Linked DNA regions of Macaca fascicularis. The protein of the gene in region 3 interacts with the protein of the main gene of each other region in a pairwise test. Links are inferred from orthologs where the notes say so. Each region holds a gene or a part of one and is shown on either strand. Other genes may lie near its edges.

Region 1 (5,528 bases), about 100 Mb from region 3:
TACATTGATTTGAAAATGTATTTGAATAATTGTGACAGTGTCTCTCAATATCATTATTCATCCAAATCCTACTTCCCACCTACCACTATATCTTAGAATTGAAGCAAATCTTTTCAAAGATGACTCTATTGTATTGCAAGGTTCTGTACTATCAAAAAAATGTTTAATTACATTCAATACGTGCACTCTACTTAATTAGGCAGGAATGCAGACTAACACATTTTAGAAAGGTTTTTCTTTATAAAGTTGAAACAAAAAGAGATTGTGAGCCAGAAAATTAAATGAATCACAACATTCTCCAAGTATTCTGGTTGGTTTATAGGTCTGATTGGTAAGCCTCAATCAAACTAAAAATGCACATCTCAAGCAACTACTGCAAATTGGCCATTAAGATTATAGCAACTTGTGTTCAAAATACCAAGGGGACTCCCCTGGCAGCATGACTCTTGTAGTTTTTGTTACAGAAGGGGTTTCAATATACTAAAATATATTGAAAGAATGGTGCCTTGCTTCAAAAATAGACAAAATAATCTTATGTATTTCCATGATAAAATTAAGATTTTCAATGGATTTAATGAATAAAAATGTCATACCTGACAGAAAAACACTTCCAAGAAGATATTTTCACATAAGAATGCATTTGACATATGGTGCAAAGTTAACAGAGTTGTTGGTTGGCTGGTTTGGTGGGTGGGTGGTTAACATTTTTATTAATTAAATCTTGCATTAAACATAAGTAAGTTATCTAATGTGTAGTATTTGATCTGATTTTTTTTTTCTTTTGAGATGGAGTCTTACCTGTCACCCAGGCTGGAGTGCAGTGGCGCAATCTTGGTTCACTGCAACCTCCACCTCCCAGGTTCAAGTGATTCTCCCGCCTCAGCCTCCTGAGTAGCTAGGATTACAGGCACCTACCACCACACCCAGCTAATTTTTGTATATTTTAGTAGAGACGGGGTTTCACCAAGTTGGCCAGGCTGGTCTCGAACTCCTGACCTCAGGTGATCCACCCACCTCGGCCTCCCAAAGTGCTGGGATTACAGGCGTGAGCCACTGTGCCGGGTCATGATTCTTAAAGTATTGTATAAATCATAGAGATAAATGTAAAGTCATCTAAAGAAAGAAAAACACCATTACATTGAAAGAATAGTCTCACCATTTAGTAAATTGGGATGGCATATTAACACAGTCATATTTTAATTTGGTGGGGCAGCATTGACATGTCACTCCTAATCCAATTAATCGGTCAGTTTTAACTCAGTAATAAGTTTAATCAGTTGTTATTGCTTTATTCAACAAATAATTATTGAGCACTTATATGCAGGCATTATGCTAGTTTCTGGCAATATGGTAGGAATCGAGACAAACATGATCCCCACCTCATGGCGATTAGAATATAGTGGGGAAGACATATCAAACAAGAAATTAAAATGTAGTACAATCATCGTGTATTAGTCCTTCCTCACACTGATATAAAGAAATACCTGAGACTGGGTAATTTATCAAGAGAAAAGGTGTAGGTGGCTCTCAGTTCCACAGGCTGTATAGGAAGCATGACGCTGGCATCTGTTCTGCTTCTGGGGAGGCTTCAGGAAACTTAAAATTATGGCAGAAGGCAGCCGGGTGTGGCGGCTCGTGCCTGTAATCCCAGCACTTTGGGAGGCCAAGAAGGGCAGATCACTTGAGCTCCTAAGTTTGTGACCAGCCTGGCCAACATGGTAAAACTCCATCTCTACTGAAAATACAAAAATTAGCCAGGCGTGGTGGTGCACACCTGTAATCCCAGCCATGTGGGAAGGTGAGGTGGGAGAATCGCTTGAACCCGGGAAGCGGAGGTTACAGTGAGCGGAGATCGCACCACTGCACTGCAGCCTGGGTGACAGAGTGGGATGCTGTTTCAAAAAAAAAAAAAAATTATAGCAGAGGCAAAGGGAGAGCAGCACTTCACATGTCTGGAGACAGACATGGAGCAAGAGAAAGAGGGGGAGGTGTCCTACACCTTTAAACAACCAGATTTCAGGGCAACTCACTATCAGGACACCACCACCAAGGGACGTGATGCTAAACCATTCATGAGACCCACCCCCCTGATCCAGTCACCTCCCACCAGGCCCCGCCTCTAGCGCTGAGGATTACGTTTCAGCATATTTGGGCAGGGACACAAATCCAAACCATATCACAGTGTGCTTAGGGAAGAGGTAGAGGAATGCCTTGAGACCTTGTTGCAAGGAATCTAACCATCTCACTAAAAATACACACCAGGCACCTCCCAGTCCTTTCTCTAGCCTACTGTCTTCATCTAGGTTGGCAATCCAAGAGGAAATCCTGAGTCCCCAGGGATTTTGGTGGTCGTGCAAGAGGAAGGCTGTCACAGCTGAACCCATGATGCATTTACCAAGCACAATCTCCGTTAGTGATGCGGTTCATGTTGCATTGTTTTCCTGGGAAACTCTTAACAGGCTTTGCCTCCCAGGTGGGGGTGGGAGGCCCTTGGCAGAATTACTGAGAAGGGATGACTTTATGGAGAGCTCGTCAGACAGGTCTAACATAAGCTTGTTTCTAACCTAAATATAGATACTAACATTGCATCACCAACTAATGCCGGAGGACCTGTTAAAATGAATCTGGAAAACCTAGATCACCTCTAGTCCTTTGAATTAGATGGATGGGGAAGGACTGTCTGAGCAAATTGTGAAATTCTAACTATAAGCAAAAAAATGTGTATGTATCCTGTGAGTCAGATTGGCATCGCATTCTAAAATACGGGTTTTGTTTATTTCAGAATGTTCTCATTGTTGAGGTAAGCTGGCATTTCCTTTCCATACTTGGAGGTTGAAAGACTCTAATGGTGAGTTTTAAACTGCACACCTTGTTATCAAATTGACCAAGGATTTCTTGAGCTCCCACTGGGTGCATGCTCTCCAAATTTAATGAATACGGGCCAAATAGCATCCCTGATTTCAAATAATGTAGAATAAGAGCTTGGCAACAATATTTGTGGACGACTTTGTCCTTTTTGTGTATCCAGTTCCACGTATCTCTGTGTTGATTCTTATGGTTCTTTGTGAATCAGACAAGTTTAAAGAAGAGGAAACTAGCTCACCGAACCAAATTCATTTCACAATGAAACCAAGGTTAGAACTCTGTTTGCCCTGAATTCAGTGTTTTTGCTAAGGACCTCTGACGATTTTGAGAATTCTCAAATACTTTCAGCATCAAAATCATAAACACAATCAATTAAAAATGGTGAGCTATGGGGAAAGCTATGGTTTTGGGTTTTTTTGGTTTTGTTTTGTTTTGTTTTACGTTTGTTTTTCTGTTAAAAAAGAGAACGTGGGATCCCTATGGCAGTAGTGGACTAATACAGCAAATGGCCACGTTTCCTTCAGGAGCATGCTCGTCTCATCAAACAGCAAAAAATTCAGGGGAGCTATTTTCAACCTTTTGCTACACAATTGCCTGTGTGCGCCATGTGTATCTGGAGTTCTTGCTCAGTATAACCCATGGAGCAGACCCTCTCACCAAATGAATTGCCCAAGCCTGGTTACATTCAGACCTGTTGTTTTGATAATCAGCTCGTGACAGCTGATTCCTGTCCTTAGGACAATAAATCGCGGCTGCCCATTCTCCTCTAATTGTGCAGCAGCTCATCAGCGGAGATGAGCCCGAGCTCACTGCAGCCGTGGACCCTCAGAATTCACAGGCTGTCACCAGCTGCTGTCCAGACACCTCTCACTTCCCAGCCATAGAATGCCCTATTGAGTGGGGGAGGATGAGGGGGAGGCATTTATCCATTCAGTGTATTCAGATGTACATATCCATGAAAATTCATGTGCCTTGTATTGTGTTACATAACCTCAGGGCCAAATTTAGTCCTTGAATGTGCATACGCGAGTCCAAATGTACTCAATGAGGAGTCCCACATGCTGTCCAAAGGCTAAATTTGGCCCTTCAACACAGCTAAAGGATTCAAGGAGGAAAGAGTCTCCGGTAGATTCCCCAAAACTCAGCTTCCAGAAGGAAGTGCCTGTCTAGATAAAACATAACCCACTCCTCCTCCTCCTTTGGCTCCAAATTGGATGGCATTTTTAATTACGATGCATTATTAATCAGGAGTATCGCCCTGGATGAAAAGTCTGTTGTGCTGCTCAGATGCACTTTGTTGAATTTATCTGTCCTTTCTGCAAAGGATGTCGTCGGAACTGGGAGGACCATGAAAGCACTACTCAGCAATATAGAGAAATACAAGCCCAACATGGTTAAGGTAGCCAGGTGAGTTGGACATTCATAGCATGGTGATTTCTGGTTTTCCAAGCAAGCCCAAAAGGTATGCTAACACAGGATGCTCTTTCCAAACAGTATAATATATTCCAATCTAGTGACCTTTTCCCCTGGGGTATTACAGTTTGACCACACTGAAAAGCAGCCCTTGACTGCTAGCCTGAGAGAAGAAAGGGAAGAAGACGTGCTTCGCCATGTTTCTGAGTTCCTCTTTACTGAGCCTCCATTAGCTGTTTCCAGGAGCAGCTGGATGAGCCCCCGTGCAATTGCTCTTCTCCCTTCATTTTTTTGTTTGTTTGTGTTGAGACACAGCCTTTCTCTGTCGCCCAGGCTGAAGTGCAGTGGCACAATCTCAGCTCACTGCAACCTCTGCCCTCTGAGTTCGAACAATTCTCATGCCTCAGCTTCCCAAGTAGCTGGGACTACAGGCGCCCGCCACCGTGCCTAGCTAATGTTTTGTATTTTTAGCAGAGATGAGCTAGGGTTTCACCATGTTGGCCAGGATGGTCTGAACTCCTGACCTCAAGTGATCTGCCTGCCTCAGCCGCCCCAAGTGCTAGGATTACAGGCATGAGCCACTGCACCCAGACCTTTTTTAGAGCAAGAGACAGGGTCTTGCTCTATGATCACAGTAGTGTGATCATAACACACTGCAGCCTCAAACTTCTGGGCTCAAGTGATCCTCCCACCTCAACCTCCTGAGTAGCTAGGTACAGCTACCCCCTATTTTTTGTTTGTTTGTTTTTTTGTTTGAGATGGAGTCTTGCTCTGTCACCCAGACTGGAGTGCAGTGGTGCAGTCTCAGCTTACTGCAACCTCAACCTCCTGGGTTCAAGTGATTCTCTTGCCTCAGACTCCCATGAAGCTGAGACTACGGATGCATACCACCATGCCCAGCTAATTTTTGTATTTTTAGTAAAGATGCGGTTTCACCATGTTGGCCAGGCTGGTCTCAAACTTATGAGCTCAAGTGATCTGCCCTTCTTGGCCTCCTAAAGTGCTGGAATTATAAGCATGAGCTACCATGCCTGACTGACAGCTACCTTTTTTAAAAGTTTTTTATATTTTATCTATTTTTTGGGACAGGGTCTCACTCTGTCACCTAGGCTGGAGTGCAGTAGTGCAGTCATGGCTCACTGCAGCCTTCAACTCCTGGGCTAAAACAATCCTCCCACCTCAGCCTCCCAAGTAGCTGGGACTACAAGCAGGTGCCACCACACCCAGCTAAATTTTTTATTTTTTTGTAG
Region 2 (6,164 bases), on a different chromosome or scaffold from region 3:
TTTCTTGACATTGAAAACTCTTCACAGCCTTCCCCCAAACTCCTTCCACCTCTCCTCCCTACCTTTTGTTATAATTATAGCCACTTGGATGATTTCCTGTTCTTAAAGCAGGCCAGTCACCTTTTTTGTCCAGACTTCTCCCTCTGCCTGGAATGTTCTTCTCCCCTTCCTCCCTGGGCAAATTCCCCCCATCTTCCAAGACCCAATTCAGAGGACAGGTTCACTAGAAGCCCCTTCAGGGTACTCCCAGTGCCTAGAATCCAGCCTGTCATTTTGGTTAAATAATTAATTAATCAGATCAAGGACATCTTCCCTGAGTACCCAATATAGCCCCCCAACGCTCCACCCCCATGCTTCCTGCACACCTCCTCTATGCTATGTTGGAACTTCTTGAAGTCAGGCTTCATTTCTTTTGTTCTGTTTCTTTCTTTCTCCTTCCTTCCTTTCTTCCCTCCTCTTCCCTCCTTCCCTCCTTCACTCCTTACTTTTTTTTTTTTTTTTTTTTGAGATGGAGTCTCGCTCTGTCGCCCAGGCTGGAGTGCAGTGGTGCGATCTCAGCTCACTGCAAGCTCCGCCTCCTGGGTTCACGCCATTCTCCTGCCTCAGCTTCCGGAGTAGCTGGGACTACAGGCGCCCGCCAACATGCCCGGCTAATTTTTTTGTATTTTTAGTAGAGACGGGGGGTTTCACCTTGTTAGCCAGGATGGTGTCGATCTCCTGACCTCGTGATCCGCCTGCCTCGGCCTCCCAAAGTGCTGGAATTACAGGCGTGAGCCTCTGCGCCGGTCCCCCCACCTTTTTTTTTTTTTTTTTTTTTTTTTTGCAGTCTCACTCTGTTGCCCAGGCTGGAGTGCAGTGGCACGATCTCAGCTCACTGCAACCTCCACCTCCCTGGTTCAAGTGATTCTCCTGCCTGAGTAGCTGGGACTACAGGCGCCCACCACCACACGCCCACCACCACACCCGGCTAATAGAGACAGGGTTTCAGCATGTTAGCCAGGCTGGTCTCGAATTCCTGATCTCAGGTGATGCGCCCGCCTCAGCCTCTCAAAGTGCTGGAATTAAAGGCATGAGCCACGGTGCCCGGCCTTTTTTCTTTTTTTCCTTTCTCTCTTTCTTTTTTGAGATGGAATCTTGCTCTGTCATCCAGGCTGGAGTGCAATGGCACGATCTCAGTTCACTGCAATCTCCACCTCCCAGGTTCAAGCGATTCTCCTGCCTCAGCCTCCCGACTCGCTGGGATTACAGGCACCCGCCACCGTGCCCGGCTAATTTTTGTATTTTTAGTAGAGATGGAGTTTCACCATCTTGGCCAGGCTGGTCTCAAACTCGTGACCTCATGATCCACCTGCCTCGGCCTCCCAAAGTGTTGGGATTACAGGCGTGAGCCACCGCGCCCGGCCTGCGGCGGCATTTCTTTTCTTTTTTAGAGGAATCAGGCTGGAGTGCAGTGACACAATATCTCACTGCAGCCTCGAACTCCTGGGTTCCACTGCTCCTCCCACCTCAGCCTCCTCAGTAGCTAGGACTGCAGGCGTGCACCACCACGCCCGGCTATTTTCTTTTTTAAATTAATTTTTTGTAGAGGCGAGATCTTGTTACATTGCCCAGGCTGATCTCCAACTCTTAGCCTCAAGCGATCCTCCCACCTCTGCCTCCCAAAGTGCTGGGATTACAGCTGTGAGCCACCGCGCCTGGCACGGGCTTTATTTCTGATGTTCCTTCCTTTTTCCTCGATGCCTTTCTAACTCTGTACCTGGCACATAGAAGTGCTTGGTACGTGTTTGTTGAATGAATGAATTAATGGGCGAACATGCCATTTCACCTTATATATCTTGTGAACCCGCCAGGCCCGGGCCTGATGTCATAGCCTTTACCCCTGGCCCGAGTCTCCAGTCTCCTGCGTGTCTGCTCACCGCAGCGCGAACGCCAGGGCACTACCCTCCCCAACCCCAGCCCAACCCCCTTCCACATCGGGGCCCCCCCGACCCTTTACCCGCCCGCTTCCCCGCCGCGGTGCAGCTCAGCTCCTAGGTCAGCCGGAGGTGTCCCCGCCCACAGCCAGGATTGGAGGACGGAGGCAACGCCCAACCCACTGGGCTGCCTCCTATTGACGCGGCCGCCGCCAGGGGTGGGGACAGGGCCGGCGGCTGCTGACGCCATCCCATAGCCAGAAAAGCCCTGGCCAGTGGCGGGCGCGACAGTGTCCGTGCGACCAGGCGGAGGTGAGTGCGCGGCGGCCGGATGGGCGGGACGGGCGTGGAGGACGCCGAGAATGGTGGCATGCGCTCACGTCCGTGTTCCCAAGGGCTGCGCTCGGCCAAGCGCAGTGCCCAGAGCTCGGAGCCAGCCTGGCCCGGGGGACCCTGCTGGCCAAGGAGGTCGTCAGTCCGGTCTTGTCTTCCAGACCCGGTGGACCGAAGCTTCCGGACGACGAGGAACTGCCCAACATGGCCTCGGAGGTGAGTGGGACCTCGGGGACGCCGGTCCTCCCAGCCTCCAAACGAGAGGGTGGGGGCGCCAGACCTGCCTCGGGCCACCCTGCTGGGAATCGCCCTCCAGGAAGTAATTTTGAAAATTACCCAGGAAGCCGGCACCCCCACCCCTCCCGGGCGCATCTTCTGGAGCTCAGCAGTCACCTTTACTGGGACTCACCTGTGTCCCCAGGCAGCCCTTTTGGCAAATCCACCAACCCACACTACTAGGGGTAGAGTGGCTCTGCCCTCACCTCACAGTGATGCCTGCCTGGCCAGGAAAAGTGCTCCCAAGCCTTCAGCCTTCCACCTCTTCATTCCTTCTTCCCCATGTCCTTTTGTCAGGTCCCACCCCACACCACATCCCTTCTCCTGCTAGAGCAATTGTCCCTGTTTATAGAATAAGGCTTAGCCCCTAAGTGTTCTTGTCCTTGACTGTGGCATGTGGAAAGAACCAAGAAAAAGGGGACCTCGCCTTGTGACTCCAGCAACCCCAGTGCCTGGTTCCCTTCCTGTCTCACTGGACCCTGCTCCTTAGGGTCAGTGGCTCCTGGCTTCTCTTCCTGACCACTGAGATGCTGGAGTCCCAAGCAGAGGTTTCCTTCCTTTGGGCCACAGTTGATTTATCTGGCAATGGGGGTAATAATAGCTGTTGGCCTCCCTCTGTAAGGCACTAGATTATGAGGCCATTGCTTTGGACCCTTCAGGGGAAAGGGGCTGTTCACCTGATGCTTGATGAAGGGAACCCCGGGAAGCAGGAGGTCTGGGTTCCAGGCCCTTCTGGCCTTCATTAGCTAGCAATTCACTTCCTTTTACTCAGTGCCCTGCAAGCTTCTGGGCCATGGGCGGGGGGCAGGGGAGCAGGGCCTGGACTTCGGAGCCAAACAGACTTGGTTTCTGTACCAGTCACTTGGGCCCTCCAAACCTCTTTCCTCATTTGTGAAATAGGGGTGATATTGCCCACCTCATAAAAGGCCATAATAACGTATGTCAAATCCCTAGCACAGGGCTGAGCAACAGTAGGTGCTCAATAAATGGTGGCTAACCACAACAGTACTGATATTTCTACTTTGGGAAGCCGAGGCGGGAGGATTGCTGAAGCCCAGGAATTCCAGACCAGCCTGGGCAACATAGTGAGATCCTGTCTCTACAAAAAAATTTTGAAAATTACGCAGGTGTGGTGGTGTACACCTGTAGTCTCACAGGAGGCGGAGGCAGGAGGATTGCTTGAACCCAGAAGTTTGAGACTGCAGTGAGCATGATCTCACCCTGCACTCCAACCCAGGCAACAGAATGTGATCCAGTTTCAAAAAATAAAAATAGAAAACCCTGCCAGTCATGGTGGTTCACACCTGAAATCCCAGCACTTTGGGAGGCCGAGGCGGGTGGATCATCTGAGGTCAAGAGTTTGAGACCAGCCTGGCCAACATGGTGAAACCCCATCTCTACTAAAAATGCAAAAATTAGCCGGGTGTGGTGGTGGGTGCCTATAGTCCCAGCTATTTGGGAGACTGAGGCAGGAGAATCGCTTGAACTCAGGAGGCGGAGGTTGCAGTGAGCTGAGATCGCACCACTGCACTCCAGCCCTGGGGACAAAGCAAGACTCTTCCTCAAAAAAGGAAAAAAACCCACAAATCCCAAAACCAAAACTGATATTTCCCATGTACATTCGCCCTTGACTGTTGCTCTTTCAACCCAGCCCAACTCAGTGCCCCATCCCCTGGCCCTGAAGAGACCATTCTGGCCCAGATGTGTCCTGGCTTGCAGTAGCACCTTCTGCTACCACACTGGGCTTCCCCTCTCCTCAGTGCCCAAAGGGAGGCACCTCACCCTGATCTCCCCGTAGGGTCCTATTATGCCTGCCAGTAAGGATAGGAGTTTGGTCTGGAGCACAGTAGTCTGGCTTCCCACAAGCCCAGTGCTCCAGGTGACCTCAGCTTGCCCCAGACCTTCCTGTAGGTTGGCACTAATTGGTTTGGCTGCCGCTCCGCTTATTAAGTAGTTGTTTTTATTACTAACAACCTCGGCAGGGTGGCCCAGGAGCCCGCTGGGGGAGGCGGTGCCCGGCTCCCGGCTGAAGGGCAGGCCGGCCCCAATTCTGACTGGCTGGCTCCAGTGATCAGGACCAGGGCCCCACGTGGTGCTTTGCTGGAGAGCTGGGCTTGGTGGGGCAGCTGTGGGGTAAGGGGCAGGACCAGCTCAAAAGACGGGGTGGGGGTGGAGGCTGCCTCTGCAGGGCAGAGTCCTTTGGCAGCCGGGGCTGTTGGGCATGGAGGGGTCAGCTCACAGCTCAGGGCCAGAGCACTGTAGAGGTCTCTGGGGTGCACCCAGGAACCAGGAGCTGAAGCATGTCCTATCCCCTGCCAGCCCTCCCTTAGTAACAGCTGGCATTTCTCAAGTCCTTCCTGAGCACCAGGCACCATGTTATATATGCAATTTGCAAATACGATCTGATTAAATGCTCACAACAAGGCTATCAGATAGGTACTATTATTATCTTTATCTTATTATTATTATCTTTTTTTTTTTTTTTTTTTTTTGAGATGGAGTCTCGCTCTGTCGCCCAGGCTGGAGTGCACTGGCGCGATCTCCGCTCACTGCAAGCTCCGCCTCCCGGGTTCCTGCCATTCTCCTGCCTCAACCTCCGGAGTAGCTGGGACTACAGGCGCCCGCCACCTTGCCCGGCTAATTTTTGTATTTTTAGTAAAAACGGGGTTTCACTGTGTTAGCCAGGATGGTCTCGATCTCCTGACCTCATGATCTGCCTGTCTTGGCCTCCCAAAGTGCTGGGATTACAGGCGTGAGCCACTGCGCCCGGCCCTTAGTATTATTTCTAAGAAGGAGTCTTGCTCTGTTGCCCAAGCTGGAGTGCAATGGCGCCATCTCTGCTCACCACAACCTCTACTTCCAGGGTTCAAGCGATTCTCCTGCTTCAGACTCCCAAGTGGCTGGGACTACAGCTGCCCACCACCGAGCCTGGCTAATTTTTGTATTTTTAGTACAAACGGGGTTTCACCATGTTGGCCAGGCTGATCTTGAACTCCTGACCTCAAGTGATTCACCTGCCTGAGCCTCCCAACCCTGAGGTTTAATAATAGGTGCCAGGCCAGGTAGTTAATAGAAGTCTGGGGTATTGCAGGGGGATAGAGGAGGATATATGTCCCCATTGGCCATTGTAGACTCCCTTCTACAAAAAGGACGTCAGTGAAGTGACATGCCCACCTCCACCCCACCCTCCTCCCAGTCCTGGGCACTAGGGCTGTGCCCCAGGTATTCTGTACCCCCTCCCCGATCCGTCCCATGCCCTGGTCTCTGCCCTCTTTCAAAACAGATGTGGCCAGCGCCTTGGCTCATGTCTGTAATCCCAGCACTTTGGGAAGCTGAGGCTGGAGGATGGCTTGAGACCAGGAGTTCAAGACCAGCCTAGGCAACATAGTGAGACCCTGTCTCTACCAATTTTTTAAATTTTTATTTATTTATTTATTTATTTTGAGACAGAGTCTTGCTCTGTCACCCAGGCTGGAGTGCAGTGGCACAATCTTGGCTCACTGCAAACTCCGCCTCTTGGGTTCAAGTGATTCTCCTGCCTCAGCCTCCTAAGTAGCTGGGACTACAGGCGAGCACCACCATGCCCAGCTCATTTTTGTATTTTTAGTAGAGACTCGATTTCACCATGTTGGCCAGGGTGGT
Region 3 (5,528 bases):
CCTCCTGGTTTACGTCATTCTCCTGCCTCAACCTCCCGAGTAGCTGGGACTACAGGTGCCCGCCACCTTGCCCGGCTAATTTTTTTTGTATTTTAGTAAAGACGGGGGGGTTTCACCGTGTTAGCCTGGATGGTCTCCATCTCCTGACCTCGTGATCCGCCCATCTCAGCCTCCCAAAGTGCTGGGATTACAGGCTTGAGCCACCATGCCTAGCCAAAAAAAAATTGATTTTCAAGAATATTGAACAAGACATTTGAAAATAAAGCAGCTCATAGAATGGATGAAATTCAAATGTAAGATCTAGATACTATTTTTGCTTCTAGAGTTCGAGAAACCATATCACTGCTCCCTTAGAAATTTATAAGATCACTTTTTCCATATGAAACACAGTGCTTAATTCCAAGTACATATTTTCTTAAAACAGGGAAACTTAAATTCTTGTTCACTAAAAAATTTCTCTTTGCAGTCTTTTCGTCTACAGATGACTATAGAGAACATGAACCATTTGAAATTCATTCCCCACAAAGACTACACAGCCAATCGCTTGGTCAGTGGGCTCCTCCAGCTGCCCAGCAATACTTCCCTTGTAATCGATGAGACTCTCCTGGAACAGGGGCAGCTGGATACCCCAGGTACGTACATAGATGTTTCCCTTCCATTTCTGACTTCCTTTCCACTAAAGCCAGATCTAGGAATAAACTTTTAGAAGAGTATCTATGGACAAAGACAAATTCACATTTAACAAATAACATAAGATAAAGGCTTGGCATATGAATTTGATTAAAGCATGTTATAAACTAATTAAATTGTATATACCAACTCTGTTTTGCCATAGTATTCTGAAAGTAGTACAGTAGAACAGATACTATATATATAAAATGTATCATATCTTCTATCTAATATATATCTTATATATTTTATATATTATTTATAATGGAGCAATAATATAAAGGGTAGTATTAATATAATGGAGTACAATAGAACAGATACTATATTATGTATCATATATCTTATATATTATATATAAAAATAATACATATTTATAGGTTTTATATTTATAATTTATATATAATTTATAATATGAATAATATATAACATGGAGCAATAATATATAAAATATAAATAATATGTAATTAATAATATAAAAATATATAATTGTATATTTTATATATTATTTATAATGGAGCAATAATATAAAGGGTAGTATTAATATAAAGGAGCAGTAATATAAAGGGTAGTATTAGATGTTGAGGGTCATAAGGGTTCTTCGGTGAAAAGTTTTATTGCGTCAGCAGATGGTTGGAGCCATCTGTATGGGCCTACAATGTTGGGTTCTTTGTGTAGTTGTATATAACCTAAAATTTTTCATTCAGTGAGTGTAAGGAACGGTAGACACAGGGTCTCACTATGTTGCCCAGCTGATCTTGAATTCCTGGGCTCAAGTGATCCTCCTGCCTTGGCCTCCCACAGTGCTGGGATTATAGGTGTGAGCCACTGCACCTGCCCCAAATAGCTTTTTAAAAAACTGAAATGGGAAGAAGCTGATCTAACAGATTTTTTTTTTTTTTGGAGACAGACTCTTGCCCTGTTGCCCAGGCTGGAGTTCAGTGGCATAATCTCGGCTCACTGCAAGCTCCAACTCCCAGGTTCACGCCATTCTGCCTTAGCCTCCCGAGTAGCTGGGACTACAGGCGCCCGCCACCATGCCTGGCTAATTATTTTTTAACCTCCCATTGTAAAGTTTTTAAACGTTTTTCAGAGAATATCTGAAAAATAATCAAATGGTTTGCACTAACCTCAGTTATAGAATATATTATAAAATCATAAGAAGCAGATTGTTTACTAGTGCTCAAATGAAGACAATTAAGAATATACTGCTGGTGATCAGCTCAAGAGGTAAAGGTAGAAGAAAAAATGAGGTAGACTGGGCACGTTTAAGGCAAAGGGGAATATAAAATCTGTAAAATTCACTAGGCTGATCTATGTATGAAGGTAGTTTTAGTGTTTCCTTATTTTAGCCCTGTAAATACACCACTTAGAAATAACTGTGCTTGCTTGGGAACTATTTTATGTCTAGGTGCATACCAGATGCTAGGTATTAGATTTGTGGGGGGATCCCCTGGCCCCATAAAGTTCTACCTTGACCAAGAGTGTTGTAAGCCTACACACTTAGTGATGTTTAGCTTAGTAAATTGGACAGCGCCTCATACCCTTTATTAAAAGCGGTAGAAACTTCATGGCTTATCATTGGTGTCAGCAAAACTGATTTGTTGAGATGATTAAAGTCAAATGACTGAAAGTGTTTTCCTGCCTTCGTAGGTGTTCATAATGTAACTGCCCTGAGCAACCTCATAACGTGGCAGAAGGTGGATTATGACTTCAGCTACCATCAGATGGAATTCCCCTGCAATATCAACGTTCTCATTACTTCGGAGGGGAGGTCACTCCTCCCGGTACAATGAGTCATTTTTAAATGGAGGGAGGTTGACATGGGAAAAATACCTACGTTTTTGCTATTTCTTGGTACCGCTTATTAATAAGTTACATTTGTTGTAAAAAAAAACTGTGACTGCTGATCATTAAGGGAACTGAGTATTTTGCACTGCCATGGATGAAAACCTTACATCTGCCAAGCTCAGATATCAGCAAGTCATGAGACCAGCAAGGCTGTTGGCAGCAGAAACACCCACATCAAAGCATAGCAAGATTGCCTGATTTTAACCTCCAGACTTCTGTTCTTGCTGCCTTTGACCCATTGTTTTCTGCTAATCTTATGTGAAAAATATTTTAGAGTTCCTTTGAAAATGTCCTTGGTTACTTGGTAGTTATTTTCATGCTTTACAGTGAAATGCTCTGTTATGTCCTCAGAGCGGCTGGTAAAGAGCGCTTTTAATTCTAAGGAGGATGGGAAATGCTCCCAGTTGTCAAATGGTTTATAGTCTCTGTATAATAGTATTCACCTGTGATTGATGAGAAACAGTCTTTGATAAGAATGAAATGGCTCAAGGATATGTTCTCTGTGTGCAAGTGTGATAGGCCTTTTTAATTAGCTGCTTTTTAGAGGTTGGCTACATTTTTGTGTGCTTATTGATACCATTGAAGTAACCAAGAAAAAGCTAACTTTCATAATTATTTCTGAGGTAGTTATAAAGCATGTAAAGTAATACTAAAAATAGATTCTCACTGGGTGCAGTGGCTCACACCTGTAATCCTAACACTTTGGGAGGCCAAGGCAGGTGGATTGTGTGAGCCCAGAACTTTGAGGCCAGCCTGGACAATGTGACAAAACTTGTCTCTACAAAAAATTCAAAAATTAGCCAGGTGTGGTGGCATGCACCTGTGGTGCCACTACTAAGGAGGCTGAGGTGGGAGGATCGCTTGAGCCTGGGAGGCAGGTTGCAGTGAGCTGTGATCACACCACTGCACTCCAGCCTGGGCGACTGAGCAAAACTCTGTCTTGCACACATACAAAAAAAAAAATTATTCCCTCCCCCTAAATAATAAATGGTATTTTCTAATTCCTGTAGGGGCTGACAGGGATGATGCATCTTTCTTTAAAAATGTAGATTTAATTTAGGAACTCAGAAAATACAGTGTACTTCTTCTCTTTTCAGGCAGACTGCCAGATTCACTTACAGCCCCAGCTAATTCCACCAAACATGGAAGAATACATGAACAGCCTTCTCTCAGCGGTGCTGCCTTCCGTGCTGAACAAATTCCGCATTTATTTAACCCTTTTGAGATTCTTGGAATATAGCATATCTGATGAAATAACCAAGGTATGTCTAGGTTAAAATAAAGGATTTCCCTGTGTTGAATTGCAGTATGCAGCCAATTTACATTTACCATAATTACTGATGAGGTGATTTTGCTATTTGTTTTCTGTCATGTCTTTTTTTATTACTCTATTACTCCATTATTGTCTTTTTGTTTGAAATAGATATTTTCCAGTGTCCCATTTTAATCCCTTGAAGTTACTTTCTTAGTGGCTGCCCCAGGGGGATAAACTTAACATGTTAGTATAATCATCTATTAAGGATTAATGCCAGTTTGTTTAGTTATTTTTAATTTAAAAAAATTTGTGTGGCTAATGCTAGTTTAATTATAATATACAAAGACTTTGCCCCTTTATAATTCCGTCCTTCTCCTCTCCCTTGTGCTGCTGTCATACAGTTACCTCTCTATACATTGTATGTACATCAACACATTTAGAATTACTGCTTTTGCAGTTGTCTAATTTTAGAGAAAAAAGAAACAGAGAAGACTTCTGTACTATTTTTTCTATTTGCCTATGCAGTCACTTTTACCAGCAACCTTTATTTCCTCATGTGGGTTCATGTTACTGCCTAGTATCTTTTCATTTCACCTCGAAGAACTGCCTTTAGTGTTTCTTGCATGGCAGGTCTACTTGTGCAAAAATTTTTTTTTTTTTTTTTTGAGACAGGGTCTCGCTCTGTCACCCAGGCTAGAGTGCAGTGTTGTGATCGTGGCTCATTGCAGCCTCAACCCCCCCAGGCTCAAGCGATCCTCCCACTTCAGCCTCCTGAGTAGTTGGGACTACAGGCATGTGCCAGTGTGCCCAGCTAATTCTTTGATGTGTATGTGGAGATAGGGGTCTCCTTGTGTTGCCCAGGCTAGTCTCAGACTCCTGGGTTCAAGTGATCCTCTGTCCTTGGCCTCCCAAAATTCTGAGATTAGAGGTGTGAGTGACCACGCCCAGCCCTCTTTTAAGTTTTTGTTTATCTGGGAATGTCTTAATTTCTCCTTAAGGCTAGTTTTGCTGGATGTAGAATTCTTGGTTTATAGTCTGTCTCATCATTTCGAGTATGTGCTCCCGCCACTTTCTGGCCTCTTGTTTCTACTGAGAAGCCAGCTAGTTTCTGATGAGGATCCTTTGTACACACTGAGTCGTTTTTCTGTCACTGCTTTCAAGATTCTCTGGCTTTTGACAGTTTTGACTATGATGTGTCTGTGTGTAGATCTCTGAGTTTATCCTACGTGGAGTTTGTTGAGCTTCTTGGAGGTGCAGAATAATTCACATTTTGGGGAAGTTTTCAACAAATTTGGGAAGGTTTTGGCCATGTTTCTTTCTGCATCATTTCTCTCTCCTCTCCCTCTGACACCCCCACTATGTATCTGATGGTGCATTTAATGGTATCCCACAGGTCTTCAAGCCTCTGTTCATTTTTCCTCATTCTTCTTTTTTTGTTCTTAGACTAATCTCAGTGAACTTATCTTCAAGTTTAGTGATTTTCTTCTGCCTAGTCAAATCTGAGTACCTCTAGAGAATTTTTACTATGTTTTTCAACTCCAGAATTTTTAATTTCCTTCTAAAAAATTATTTCTCTCTTTTTATTGATACTATTTGGTGATTCTCATATTTTCCTGAAGTTCTTTTTATGTGGTTTCCTTTAGTTCTTTGAATGTTTAAAATAGCCAACTTAGAGTCTTTTTGTCTGATGTTTGAGTTTCCTCTGGGACAGTTTCTACTGACTCCCTTATCCCCAAAGTGTGAGCCATACCTTCTG
Region 4 (6,154 bases), on a different chromosome or scaffold from region 3:
CTCCCAGCTGGACAGTGTCCCGAAGGAGAAAGGCAATGACTCAGCTGCCATCTCTGCAGTTGGATCAGTCTGGAAAAGCACATTTGCAGGGTAATGGGGAGTGGCTGGAACAAGCTCCATGTAGCAAACAGTCTATGCCACAGGTTGGCAAGCTGGTCTGATGCCTGTTTTTGTAGGTAAAGTTGTATTGGAATACAACCACATCTGTTTATTTACATACTGTTTATGGCTGCTTTGGTGCTACAGTGGCAGAGATGAAGAGTCACGCTAGAGACCATAGGGCTCTTAACATCTAAAATATTTATTATCCTGCCCTTTAAAATTTATCAACTCCTAGTTTATATTAATATTCCCTCCTTGCTTTTGCCCAGGACTTGAAGAAGCAAAGTGCCTGGATATCCATGCTTAGGGGATCTGGAGGACTAGTCAAATTCCTGTCCCCATCAAGGTTAGGCTGAGCTGAAGGACTATTTCCCTGAGCTCCCCACACAGGAGAAGGGAGCACAAATGACCTGGTAATTGCTCCTGGAAACTATCAATAGAGTTTGCAAGTGGGACTGAAGACTAGTGAAAGTTTAACCCTGACTGAAGACTGGTAAGGCAAACCAGTTGTCTTTGTTGGGGCTTTCTTTGAGGACCATCTTTCCATTAGGACATTCTTTAAGAAAAGTGGTTTGCTCACCTTGTAGGAGCAAGCCAGGAGAATAGACAGCCTGATAGCAAAAGCTTGCTCAGATTCAAACCCTCCTTTCCCACCTTCTCTAGGTCTTTTCATAATCTCTTAGGGTCTCAGCAAAAGGAGGCTAAGCAGCATCTCTTAGGACTTGGTTTTGGGAAAGGGTAGGTTAAGTTTACCTGCTTTCAGGTGTGGTGATGTATGAAGATACACTTCCTTCTTGAACACTGTAGGCAACAAAGAGAAATGTTAGCCATTTTTGGAAGGGGGAGAGGCAACTTATTTTTTTCTTTTCTTTTGAGACGGAGTCTCTGTTGCCAGGCTGGAGTGCAGTGGCGCAATCTCGGCTCACTGCAACCTCTGCCTCCAGGGTCAAGCGATTCTTCTGCCTCAACCTCCCAAGTAGCTGGGACTACAGGTGCATACCACCGTGCCCAGCTAATTTTTGTGTTTTTAGTAGAGATGGGGTTTCACTGTGTTGGCCAGGATGGTCTCCATCTCTTGACCTTGTGATCTACTCGCCTCCCAAAGTGCTGGGATTATAGGCGTGAACCACCATGCTGGGCCCTTATTTTTCTTTTATCTCCAGCCTCCTACTGGTCCGTCCTTACTTCTGGTCTTGTGGGGTATGCATACTTGGTCCCTGTAGCCATTTCCAAGGGCAGAAGAGGGCCTGACTTTATTTTTAGTTGCTGACATTTGTAGTCCTGGTTACATAATAGCAAAGTTCTGGCCAACTCAGCTTTCTCTAAATTCAAGGCAGGCCTTAAACCTGCCAGGGTAAAGACTAAACTATAGGGAAGGGAACAAATCGTAGCATTTTCCTAACTCCATTCCCACACTGACATCCTGTAGCATTTTCCTAACTCCATTCCCACACTGACATCCTCCAAATGTGTATTTCCAGTCTGGACCTCTTCCAGAACTTCCGACTCTGCTGTCTACTGCCTACTTGCCATTTCTTTTTCAATGTCTAATAGGTACCTAAGACTATGTGCAAACTTGTTGATTTTCCCCTTCCAAGGTCATCCCCATCTCAGATGACAACTCTAGTTGCTTAAGCTAAAAACCTTGGTATCATCCTTCATTCCTCTCACACCCTGCAATCCAAAGTACTAGCAAATTTTAACTTTTTTTTTTTTTTTTTTTGAGACGGGTCTCCCTCTTTTTGCCCAGGCTAGAGGGCAGTGGCACAATCTCCGCTCTGCAACCTTTGCCTCCTGGGTTCAAGCGATTCTCCTGCCTCAGCCTCCTGAGTAGCTGGGATTACAGGCATGCACTACCATGCCTGGCTGATTTTTGTATTTTTAGTAAAGATGGGGTTTCACGTTGGCCAGGCTGGTCTTGAACTCCTGACTTCGTGTGATCCACTCCTCTGGTCTCCTAAAGTGCTGGGATTACAGGCATGAGCCACCATGCCCGGCCCTTAACTCATTCTTTAAAAATGAGTTTTTAAAACTTTGCTTAGAAGAATTTAAACACCTCTAATTCCATTCTTTCCAATCTAGATCAATTCACCACCATCTCTCAATTACTGCAGAAACTTCCTGATTGCAGAAGGTCTTCCCATTTCTTCTCTTGCCACCCCTCCGTAAGTCTATTCACCATACAGCAGCCTGAGTGAACCTTTTAAAACAGGTCATTCCTCTGCTCAAAACTCTCCAGTGACTTCCTATGTCATGTCAGGGAAGTCATTGGAGGGTTTTGAGAGGAGGAATTACCTAAGGTAATTCCTGACCACCTGATGTAACACAGTAACCTCCATCCTGAACATTCTCCATTCCTTTCTCTGCTTTAGCTTTCTCCATGGCACTTATATTTTGTTTACTGTAGGCCTCCCACTGAGATGATTTTTTCCTCTTGCTCACGGATGTTCCCTGAGCCCCAAACTGTTTGGCACACAGTAGGTCCTCATTAAGTATTTGTTAAGAATGAATGAATTCTCCCCAATCTCTCTTATAGGGAAGGGGCAGACGCAGAGTGGCAGCTGCCGATCCCTAGGGACTGGAGATGCAATATTGCCCGAAATATTTCTCTGCAGGGCTGTCTTCCCTGGGGAACCCTCCCTTGCCTTCCAGTGCGTGGGACTTGGCTTTCATCAGCAGTGGAGCCTCAGGTCAGAAGGCTGCAGAGCCAAACGGGGCTGGCCTGATGCAATGGTTACACAGAGATTAGCTGGGAGACAGGACCGGGTTAAAGAGGCAGGGACTAATCCCGAGGGAAGGACGATACCCTGGGGAGACCCCAAATGGCCTCCTACACTTAAGAGATCCAGGCTGCTCTCTTGTGCGGGAGGCCCAGAGACCTCTACGGCAAAGGGAAAACACACCGCTCCCTGTCCATCGGCACCCCTCCCAAAGGCTTGTGTCAAGGTTCCCCTTTCAGCCCTGCAGGGTCCAGTAGCCCCAGCTACCGAGGTGGCCATGCTGACACCAGAGACGCTGAGACTGAGACAGGATTGGGGGTAGGGTAGGGAGAAGGCCGATGGTGGCGAACGGGCGGAAACGGTTTGAGCGATGGTAACTCAGTCTTAGAGCGGGGGTGTGTCCTGCTGCCTCCCCGCGGACAGGCCTAACGAGGTGGCCTGAAGTTGGCTACGGGAGAGAATGAATTTCCCTAGGGCAGCCGAGGTCCCTTTGCCCAGCAGCACAGAGCAGGGCCCATGCTCCGGCTCCGGGCAGGGGTGGAGAGACGCTGTCGTCCGAAGCAATGGGGGTTTGTAAGCACCACCCCAGAATAAGGGACTCTCCCCATTCCTCTCTCGGACGGTCCCTGACTTCACTGTGGAGGCGTGAGGCCAATCCTAAAGAGCGGATGCCCCAACTCTGAGGAGACGGGAGGGCAAAGGGCAGATGGGAGTCAGTACTCGCCTCTCTCCTCAGGTTCCAGCTCTGATTTTGGCTCTGTCGCTGCCACCCGCTCATCTTCAACATGATACGCTCAGTGCCTTAGACTTAAGCCTCTGACCTCGGGAGCGCCTAGCTGTAATCTTTTACCATGGCCTTGCCCTCCTCTCAGGGGCGGGACCCCAAAACCTACCAATCAGAAAGTGGCACGCCGGCATTGGCCCCGCCTCGTCCCTCGTATCCGCCACTCAGGAGCTCCGCAGAACCGCCCCCGTCGCTCCCTCTCGCTAGGGGGTCGACGTAGTGTCGGACCCGGAAGTGGCTTTGGGTCACGAGGCTTCACGGAGGCGGTGGGTGAGTCATGCGCGCGCGCGGAGGGGAGTGTAGCGGGGGGAGGGGAGGAAAGGGGGGCGGGGATGATGCAATGTTTGGCAACTGGTGTCTGCACGCGCACGCGCAGGGGACTACGAGGGTGGTGGGAGGTGCAGAGGGTGGGGGAAAGGAGAGAGGGCGGGGCGCCAGCTCCCGGCGCCCAACGGCCCCAACGGCTATCAGCGTTGGCCGTCCGTAGTCGGTCGTGTGGAGCCTCTTTGCCGCTTGTCTCCCCCAGAAGCTGCTGTTCCGCCCACCGAGCTTTAGCCGGCGTTTTACCTCCACTATAAGGGACTCCCATTTTCCTTGGCCCCTCCCAGCTAATGGTCATATAGGCCTTTTGAACTTTTCCTTTGAAAGTTGGTATCCATCCACTGGGATTGTCGACATCTCGAGAGTCTTAGAGAGGTCTCCGGGCTCGGTGACTCATGCCTATAATCCCAGCACTTTGGGAGGCTGAGGAGAGCGGATCACTTCAGGTCAGGAGTTCCAGATCAGCCTGACCAACATGGTGAAACCCCGTCTCTACTAAAAATACAAAAATTAGCCGGGTGTGGTGATGCGCGCCTGTAATCCCAGCTACTCTGGAGGCTGAGGCAGGAGAATCGCTTGAACCCTGGTGGCGTATGTTGCAGTGACCGAGATCGCGCCACTGCACTCCAGCCTGGGTGACAGAGCGAGACTACGTTTCACCGAAAACGAAAAACAAATAAAAAAAACCGGGGTCGTCTAGCCCCGTAAATCTCCCAAAAGGGGCCGAGGTACTGGAATCCCTTGGTAGTCATTTTCCGCTTCTCTCACAACAGCGCCCTTGACTTTTACCTTGGAGTTGCTAAGCCCTCAGCCTGCCAGAAGTCATGTATTTTACCCAGTGGACCCAATTCTGTTTGGCCACCTATTTTCCCCCACTATACTCTTACGGCTTTCTCCAATACCAAGACCCTCTCTTGCTGTACCAGACAGCAAGTCCTGTGACTCCCTGCTGTGAGGAGCGCGGCACAGGCCTGCCTCCTAGGTGTTCGGGTCGAGATTTACAGCGGAGTCTCATCCTGGGACGTGTAAGTGCACTTCAGCGCAGGACCGCCGTGGACTGGGGAGACCGGGGCCGCGATTTTAGCCTCAACTCCCCCTCACTTACCAAGGGATCTTACCGTCCTTGTTTGTAAATCAACGAGTTGTAAGGGTAAAATGAGAACCATGAACTTGGAGGCAACTTGAACAAAAGTAAAACGCACCACGCAGAATGCAAAGTATTTTTCTTGTGCCTTGAAAACAGAGGCCATGTGGTGGCCTGTTACATATCCTGTCATACCCTCATGGGGGCAGCCAGAGTTTAAGTAGAAACTGTCACAAGGCCGGTTGTGACTGGAGTGGTGTTTCTGTGACAGGTCTTTGGTTAGGCTGCTCCGTTGCTCCACACCTCCATTTCCCCTCTGAAAATGGGGGTGGTGTGGGGGGTGGACCAGATGGTCTCTCCTGGCCTAAAGACAGACCAGGTTGTCAGTGACAGGCAGAGGTCATGTGACTTGACAGGCCGAGGTCGTGTTGTGACATGTTGACCTGGAGAGGCGGGTCAAGTCCCAGCACACTACCCGGGAAGCCTTTGGGGCGGGGCAGGGCAAGTCGCGACTTTCATCTTTCGGGCCTGGCCCCTCCCGGACCTGGCATTCCTGGCTCCCGCAACAGACTGTGGCTTTGGAAGGGGCCCCTCCCCGAGGAGGGCTGGGATTGGCCACCAGTGGCCTGGGGAGAGGCGCAGATCCTTCCGCGGAGGGAGGGGGGCCGCGTGGGGTGTTTGTTCTCTTGGGGATTAATGGGGGGTTGTGGGGGAGGGGTAGGCGCGCTCCCGCATGCGCACTGCGGCCCCTCCAGTTGGCTCGTCGCTGTCCGCTGGGCGGGGGCCCGGCCCCGCCCCTCTCCCGGCCGGGCAGCGGCGGAGGCGGCGGTGGCTGCGGCGGTGGCTGCGGCAGCGACGGCGGCGGCGGCGACAGCGGCAGCAGCCTGCGCAGTGCCTTCTGGGAACGGAATCCCCAGGGCTGCCCCTGGCCCCCATGGCGCATGCGCGGGAGGCCGCTCGGTGATCCGCGGCGGCGGCAGCGGCGCTTCCTGCTAGGACCGGCCGGGGCCGTACCGGAGGCTCGGGCTCCACCGACCCTCCTCCCACCCCCTCCCACTCACTCTCTGGGCCGCGACTGCGCAGGGCGGGGCCGGCCGAACCATGGGCCGCGGTGAGTGCGGGGCCCGGCCCCCCCACCCCGCC

What was found.
Region 1: the proteins of MCMBP (region 3) and PRTFDC1 interact in binary tests that used the Homo sapiens proteins (3 or more experiments, as listed by UniProt). The two-hybrid records come from large-scale screens. The link is inferred for Macaca fascicularis from reciprocal best matches to the Homo sapiens genes MCMBP and PRTFDC1.
Region 2: the proteins of MCMBP (region 3) and ASL interact in binary tests that used the Homo sapiens proteins (3 or more experiments, as listed by UniProt). The two-hybrid records come from large-scale screens. The link is inferred for Macaca fascicularis from reciprocal best matches to the Homo sapiens genes MCMBP and ASL.
Region 4: the proteins of MCMBP (region 3) and DDIT3 interact in binary tests that used the Homo sapiens proteins (3 or more experiments, as listed by UniProt). The two-hybrid records come from large-scale screens. The link is inferred for Macaca fascicularis from reciprocal best matches to the Homo sapiens genes MCMBP and DDIT3.

Annotation. Positions count from the first base shown.
Region 1 is NC_088383.1:25,634,617-25,640,144, reverse strand, and holds part of PRTFDC1 (phosphoribosyltransferase domain-containing protein 1), read left to right. Parts: intron 1-2,782; coding exon 2,783-2,800; intron 2,801-4,189; coding exon 4,190-4,272; intron 4,273-5,528. UniProt on the Homo sapiens protein: Has low, barely detectable phosphoribosyltransferase activity (in vitro). Binds GMP, IMP and alpha-D-5-phosphoribosyl 1-pyrophosphate (PRPP). Is not expected to contribute to purine metabolism or GMP salvage.
Region 2 is NC_088377.1:60,336,817-60,342,980, reverse strand, and holds the start of ASL (argininosuccinate lyase), read left to right. Parts: upstream 1-2,166; 5' UTR 2,167-2,225; intron 2,226-2,407; 5' UTR 2,408-2,450; coding exon 2,451-2,462; intron 2,463-6,164.
Region 3 is NC_088383.1:128,850,150-128,855,677, reverse strand, and holds part of MCMBP (mini-chromosome maintenance complex-binding protein), read left to right. Parts: intron 1-466; coding exon 467-632; intron 633-2,319; coding exon 2,320-2,453; intron 2,454-3,614; coding exon 3,615-3,779; intron 3,780-5,528. UniProt on the Homo sapiens protein: Associated component of the MCM complex that acts as a regulator of DNA replication.
Region 4 is NC_088385.1:64,326,907-64,333,060, forward strand, and holds the start of DDIT3 (DNA damage-inducible transcript 3 protein), read right to left. Parts: upstream 3,831-6,154; 5' UTR 3,716-3,830; intron 3,645-3,715; exon of another isoform or gene 3,610-3,644; coding exon of another isoform or gene 3,547-3,609; intron 904-3,546; coding exon of another isoform or gene 862-903; 5' UTR 856-861; intron 165-855; 5' UTR 121-164; coding exon 1-120. Other genes in the region: DDIT3 upstream open reading frame protein, read right to left, coding at 862-903, 3,547-3,609. UniProt on the Homo sapiens protein: Multifunctional transcription factor in endoplasmic reticulum (ER) stress response. Plays an essential role in the response to a wide variety of cell stresses and induces cell cycle arrest and apoptosis in response to ER stress.